2 linked regions of the Bombyx mori genome follow. The protein of the gene in region 1 purifies or fractionates together with the protein of each later gene. This does not show direct contact. Links are inferred from orthologs where the notes say so. Each region holds a gene or a part of one and is shown on either strand. Other genes may lie near its edges. The genes, in order: RCC1-like G exchanging factor-like protein; pseudouridylate synthase TRUB2, mitochondrial.

Evidence for each region.
Region 2: the proteins of RCC1-like G exchanging factor-like protein (region 1) and pseudouridylate synthase TRUB2, mitochondrial purify together in Homo sapiens (affinity purification with mass spectrometry; 3 studies listed by BioGRID and IntAct, with this or other methods). This does not show direct contact. The link is inferred for Bombyx mori from reciprocal best matches to the Homo sapiens genes RCC1L and TRUB2.

What each region holds. Positions count from the first base shown.
Region 1 is NC_085111.1:18,483,974-18,487,487, reverse strand, and holds the end of RCC1-like G exchanging factor-like protein, read left to right. Parts: intron 1-158; coding exon 159-331; intron 332-1,093; coding exon 1,094-1,258; intron 1,259-2,478; coding exon 2,479-2,816; 3' UTR 2,817-2,867; downstream 2,868-3,514. UniProt on the Homo sapiens protein: Guanine nucleotide exchange factor (GEF) for mitochondrial dynamin-related GTPase OPA1. Activates OPA1, by exchanging bound GDP for free GTP, and drives OPA1 and MFN1-dependent mitochondrial fusion. Plays an essential role in mitochondrial ribosome biogenesis.
Region 2 is NC_085121.1:542,972-546,906, reverse strand, and holds the start of pseudouridylate synthase TRUB2, mitochondrial, read right to left. Parts: upstream 2,148-3,935; 5' UTR 1,799-2,147; coding exon 1,675-1,798; intron 1,471-1,674; coding exon 1,279-1,470; intron 947-1,278; coding exon 730-946; intron 387-729; coding exon 250-386; intron 1-249. UniProt on the Homo sapiens protein: Minor enzyme contributing to the isomerization of uridine to pseudouridine (pseudouridylation) of specific mitochondrial mRNAs (mt-mRNAs) such as COXI and COXIII mt-mRNAs.

The sequences.
Region 1 (3,514 bases):
CAGTAATGCGTTTTGTTTTGAAGGGTATAGGAACTGTTGTACTTTAAAACTGAGCTTAAGAATTCATGTCTCAAGGTGTGTCCCGTACAGTATGTTTTATTACACAATGAAATTTGTCTGAATCAAAATTATGCCATCCATAAATTAATACATTCCAGTCTGTTCATAACAGAGTCTGGTAAAGTGTACGCGTGTGGGTGGGGAGCCGACGGTCAGACCGGACTGGGAAACTATGACAATCGATCCACTCCTACCGCTGTCATAGGCGATATCACCACGGAGAAGATTGTCAAAGTCGCTTCCACTGGAGATTGTGTTTTGGCTTTGAACAGTGAGTTTCAGACAATTTATCAGTATTATATTATGACTTAAGATGTAATATGGCTAAAGTAAATGAAATGTGATACTCCTTAATTTAATACAGGTAGGTACCACCACCTTGCCTATTTCTGTGAAGCAGCAATGCGTTTCGGTTTGATGGGTGGGGCAGCCTTTGTAGCTATACTTGAGACTTTAGAACTTATATATCAAGCTGGGTGGCGCATTTACGTTGTGTATGGAGTCTATGGACTCCAGTAACTACTTGACACCAGGTAGGCTGTGAGCTCGTCCATCCATCTAAGCAATAAATAAAAAAATAAAAAAATACATGACACATTTGTACATTAAATTAGGGTTTATAAAGCAAATATCCATATTCAATATTATAAATGCGATAGTGTTTGTTTATAGTGTTTGTTTTTTACATTTTCAACTCATGTATTGCAGAATGTCTAACTTACGGTGCTCATGTGAATTAGTTGCTGGAATCTCACAGTAATGATGAACGGCTGACAACTTTTAGTGTGAGGTCGGGCGAAGTCTCAATTGTGTGGTATTGTCCGTTGGCTACGCGGCAGCACTGTGCTCTATACTAGAGCGAGCTCACCTACTCGCCCTGTTTAAATTTGTAATTTTACTGATTTTATTTCTACTCCACATTTTTCGTAAAAGTTGCAGTTTTACAAAAAAAATATTAGATAAAATTCCTTTGATACGAGAACGCCGGGTATAAAATCCAATCTGTATAATAATAATAATAATATGTCTACAGACAAAGGAGAACTGTTCGGTTGGGGCAACTCTGAGTACGGGCAGATCCCGATGGCGACGACACAACACCAAGTCAACACGCCCTACGCGCTCCTCAACTTCACCAGGGGACTCGGCAGGATTGTGGACATCGCGGCGGGAGGATCCTTCTGCATGATCGTTAATGGTTGGAACTATAACATTTCTTTTGAAATTATACTTCTTTAGGCGTGTTATGAAAAATTGATGAGAGTGAAATTTTACAATGCGCGCGCACCGTGACACAAAATTAACCGAATGGAGTTGCCCACTAAATCGCTCATTACAATACGACCGACGTAACTTGGCGAGTCTGAATATAGCCGCAGGTGAACTTTCGCGCATGTACACTAGTAATAAAATGTGTTATTAGCATTCATTTTTTAGTAATATAAATGACAAAATTATCATTTAATATAATTCATACTAAATATTATTAAATTATTAACGTTAAATATTTATTATTAATTATTTATTAATAAAAAAAAAAAAGTAAATTTAATAAAAATAAAGTATAATTTCTTACGCGCGTACATAAGTACACGCACCCTTTTTAATTCATTGCGGATGTCTGTCTGTCAGAGTATATCGACAGACGAGTTTACGGCCCGCTTTATATTACCGTCGCGCTCGACATATTGAATGAAGAAACCGAGTACTGCTCTTTACACTGTGGTCCTAAACTGGAACGCATGACTGCTTCATAGCAGTAATAGGCAGGATAGTGGTGCTGGGAAAATAACATACATAATTAACAATGAACCGATATTTCTAAGCAAATTGATGTCCATGAACATTAGATTAATGAACCTAACCTAAACGTCAACCCGCTGAGTTTCTTGTCGGATCTTCTCAGCGGGTTGCGATTCCGATCCGGTAGTAGATTCATTCGCGAAGCAGTTACTATTGAGTTGTTAGATCTCTTTCAGAGGCGCTCGGGTAGCTGTTAGCAAATACTACCCCTCCTGGCTGAACCCTTGCTCGCCCGCCTGCCCTGGTAAAACTGGAAAGGCCTCCGGCCCACCAGTAATCTCTCAAACATAAAAAAACTAGGTTAATGTATCAGGTGAGAGAGGTGAGAAGGCAATCTCCTCCCGGTGAAGGTCACAGTGCGACCTGAGAGGATCGATGCTGCGCCGTACGCTACCGTCACTCCAGCACGTTGGGCCCGTGGTCCGCTCCCAACATCTGCAGACCGTTCAGTCCCACATACACAGCGCGCCCTCTAGGCGCGTGGAACTCGTAGAAGGGTCAGCACGGCCAGAAAAAAGCTATCGAGAGGGAGACTAGATTACACTTCGACTAGAGGAACTGAACTTGTTTTATAAAATATTTACTATTTTACTTCCTTTTCAATATCTTTCACAGACCAAGGAGATGTCTTTGTCTGGGGATTCGGTCTTCTAGGACTTGGACCAAACGTGCAGCACACGGCGACACCTAAACAAATACCACCAACATTGTTTGGCCGAAATGAATTCAACCCTGAGTGTGTGGTTAAAAAAATTTCCTGTGGAATCTCCCATCTCGCAGCTGTCACTAATAATGGTGATCTTTACATGTGGGGCAGGAATAGGCAAGGCTGCCTCGGTTTGGGCAATACAAATGATCAGCATTTTCCCTTAAAAGTGGCGATTGGTGCTCATGTACTTAAAGTGGCTTGTAGTGTGGACCATTCAGTTGCAGTTTGCAAACCGTTTGTTTAGTTAAGACAGTTCTAATTATTACCTAATTTAGCAATAAAATATTTAGTAAAATTCTTTTTGTTTTTATTGTATTACTAGCTGACGCGGCAGACTTCGTAGTGCCTTAATCGATAAAATATATAAGACCTAAGCTTTTGTATAAAATTAACTTAAAGCAATCAAAAGGGATCCGTCCGACGGGGGACACATCGAAGGATAAAAAAAATTGTTATTTTCATTTAATTCCGAGCATTTTCATATTTGTCTACCTTTTAAACCTTCTCTGGACTTCCACGAATAATTCAAGACCAAATTGGTCCAGCATTCTCGAGTATTAGCAAGATTAACGAACAGCAATTCATTTATATATATATATTAATCTAAAGTTTTTGAGAGCCTCTAAACATTTTTTGATAAATTACGATATCTTAGAGTAGTCTCTATTTGTGTCATAATAATTTGGATTCATTGTTAATATGCTGCAAATTATGAGCTCTAAATTAGATAATCTTTTGCATTCTTGTATCTTGATTAGTTCTTCAGTTCGTTTGTTGGTAATGTCTGTTTCAACTGAATAGTGAAATAATATTTTTTTACATAGTGAATTTCATGATCATTTAAGACACATGTATAGTTAAATTACAATTTCATTGTCAATGAAAGAATATGGTAAATTTAACTAACTTGTATTTCCAATCATAAATATTGCTGGTGCGCAG
Region 2 (3,935 bases), on another chromosome or scaffold:
TGAGTTCATATGGCTAGGTATTATTGCACTCTCTTTATTTTAGATGTGAAGGAGTAATGCAATTCCATCTTAAAGAGTGGGAAGGTCATTTTGCAAATCATTTGAGAAATGTTGAGGTGGGTAGTGGTATTTATATTGAGCTATCTATGGGCCCAGGTAACCATTTAACATCATGTGAGCTTTTTTCTCCTTGTGAAGCAGTAAAATATAAACAATGTGGTATGATTTAAAAGTTAATTGTAATACAACCTAAAGTAAAATTAGGTGAATCAAAATGGACACATTTGATGCCATAGAGAACTGGAATTTTGGAGTTAGCCGGTCTGATTGGTCCTTCTACTGCTAGATCATACATTGTCTGAGAATCCATGTGTACACCCGATAACCTGAAAGGTAAAAGAAATTATGGACAAACTTAGTGTTGTCAGTATATGCAAATGAAAATTACACTTTTTATCTGCTTGTTTTATTTTTTAATTTCATTTTTATGTACTTTGATAATGTGGTGTAGGTATATTCAGGCTTTCACTTTCATATATAATGATCAAGCATCTAGTGTATCAGTGGCTACTGCTAATCTGCTTACTCATGCTTATAATAAAAACAGAATGGAATGGCTGGACTAGATCATTAGTCAAGTTGTAAATAGTGACGGTTAAATTTGTACTTGTAATTTATGCTGAAGAATCTATCCTGAAGATTTTACACATCTAATTTATGTATACTTACTCATACATAGCTTTTTGGTGTGCTGCCTGCATATGGGCAACTACTCTGTCTATCTTCTCTCGACTAACGTGTTTGTGCATAGAACGTTCAACAGTCTTGCCATTCCAAAAATATGTGTCAGTAGCTTTACCAAGTTGCCCATGAAGTTTGTATGCTCTTGGGAGTCTTGCTGTGTTCAACAGATAGGTCAGTTTTGTACCTTCATTAATGCCTAACACTAAAAGCAAAAAAATAACAATTGTCACACTTAGTGAAATTATATAGTGATAGTGAAATATTTTCTTCTCTAAAAAAATTTTCACTAACAAACCAAAAGAAGTTAAATTAATACATATATATATCTAATTTATATTTATATATGTTTTGTTGGTAGCCTGATCTCAATAAACCAAGCTAATTAAGTTATTATGTTGTCATTGATCTCAGACAAGTGAACAAATTTCCTGGTTGGACACCATTTGAAAAGAACCTCAAATTTTTAGTGTGTTATAAGTTTAAAAAAGTAACATTGTATTCGAGGTAGGTTTCTTCACATAAATGTTAACTTACACAGAACTCCACTGCTGAAGAACCCTAAATGAGTAGCCCAGCTGCAGCGAAAGTCTTCGTTTATGAACCTAGGACCACAGGCTAGAGGGTTGTCTGCATAGTTAGGCACCAAACACACACTCATCGGTTCGTTTGTGGCCCCTATAATCTCCACTCTTTTCTCTTGAGGACCATTTGGTAATGCATTCAAGTCTGGAAAAAAAATAGTTTTGCTTCAACTTGGATGGGCTTTGGTCATTTTTATGGTCAGATCGTCTCTCGTCAACTAATATCTTTGACATCGAGAATTCAAAATCTTTAAATTTTATATTCGTTTACGATTAAAGTAAATCTAGGTGAGGTGTATAATATTGTTTAGTTATATACGTGAGATTTAACATTAGTTAGAAAACTAACCTCTACATAAATGAGTTATAATTGTATGCTGCACTTGTTTAATGGTGACACATGGTGGTTTGTAAACACAAACCAAGCCATTTAAAGCTTTATACGCCAATGCTCCAGTACATAATTTCGCCATTTATCATGCCAGTTCCCAACAAAGTTCTCAGTTGAACAAAATAATCAAACTTCAAATTTTTCAAAACATCTTCGTTTTCGGTTTGATTTTTTCAATTGAACTGGTAAAGGGAGAGTAGCACACACAGCTTTCTCGATTTGAAAATTAAATAATTATGGGAGCATTTCGAGAACTTCATGTTGTTAAAACGTTCCATTATGACTTAATAATTTAAATATTGTCAGAAGACTGTTGAATACACGTTCTGTTAAATATACATCATTTTTTAAATTACACTGCATTACTATTTATTAGCAATATCTTCTTTATCATGAGACCAACAAACGTCGGTTTCTGGACACAGGGGTCCATTACAGATAACATCCACTGGATTCCCGCGACCTTTATGCCGGCCACTGACATTCGTACAATGTACGAATATTTGCGCGCATGTGAAGGGCCGTCAAACATTTATTCGCAAACCTAGCGGCGCGGCTGTGCAAATGGGTTCGCATACTCAATTTGCGAACCCGTTTGCGCTTCCTTCTACACTTGTTTACGAATGTCTCACGAATTTCTCCTCCTTTTTAATTCGTCAATAGAACATTGAAGAGAAAAAGAGTTTTTAATTCTTTCCCAGACATCATTAACAGCCATGCTGTTTTTATGGGATTTCTTTTGATGAAGATACGCTACACAGTAGACGTCCCGAACTATGAAAATGGCGTATAGTATACGTCCGTTACCTTCGCAATCGTCGGCGCAACTGGGCAAGCGAATGTGTGGGAGACTACGCGAAGGTTCGAGGTTCGCGCGCTTTGATGTCTGTTAAAAAACCGACACAGCTTGGAAAACCACGAATGCAGCGAAAACTTTGCATAATCATTCGCAAATGTCGTCCCACACTTGCGGGTTTGCGTATTCGTGAGCATGTGAGTGACCGGTGTTAGTATATTGTCGGATCACCTTCTGGGAGTCATAAAAAAGCTGTCACTCGGTGCGCGATCACCATTCACGCAAATACTTTTTTGTTTTAATTTTATTCTATTATGGAGTTTTTTTATGATTCGTCTGAAAATAGAGATTGCCTAATTAGTTGTATGTTTGACGATTTTTTTTCTATTTAAGCTGTTATTGTAACGTTCATGCCAGAGGGAGCTGTTGATAGCCGGAAACCAAGTGATTTTGGTGGAATACTGACAATGCCAGCACTAAACAAAAAAATGTGTGCGTGTACTAGTGTACACACGTAAGAAGTGAAACTTGTTTATGGCCTTATTTTTCGAAAAATGATCTACATGCAACTTTCTAGAAATTGGTTAAATAAAGTTAAATTAGATAAAGTTTAAACAAAAGGATTTTATTATCATAGACATGAATACAAAAAAGTTAAATTAGATAAAGTTTAAACAAAAGGATTTTATTATCATAGACATGAATACAAAACAGATGGCGCGTAACGGAAAAAAGTGACGCGTAACCGAAAAATGTGACGGTAAATTTTTTTCCAACGCCGATAAGGAAGTTTCACTTCAAAAATCCTAAGGCGTTCAAAACTAAACTTTTTCATTTTTTTGTTCAAACGTGGTTTCACAAGAATACTCGGAGGTATTCATTATGACGATGATGATGACTCGGAGGTAGGCATTGCTAACTTTTGTACATGACTACAATAAAAATTTTGAATACATAATTTTGGAGTATTTGTAAATGTGTATCTTAAACTTCGGGAGACAATTTTTTTTGTATTAATTTTACTCTTATTTTATTAAATACTAAGGCAGATGGTATAAGTACTAGCACTAAAGAACAGCTGACATACCTTGTTCTATGTATTGTTTCTTCAAATAATCTGTGATCATAAATGTCAATTGTCATTGTCACGTCGTCACGATTTACTCAACATGTCAGTTGTCTTTTAACTACCTAGACGGGAGCGGCGAGCAATGGCCGATTGAAAGTCTCGCCACCGTTGATATCACTCGACGGCATACGTGTTCCATTATTGTGTTCCAACAGGAATTAATTCTTCCCGTGTTTTATTATATACAGTAAGAGTTAAAAAATTTAATACGTTGTGGTTTTATGAATAGTGTAACAGTTTAATGTGTAGGTGTTCGTGAATTCGTCGGACTCTAGTTTCGTATGAAACCATTGA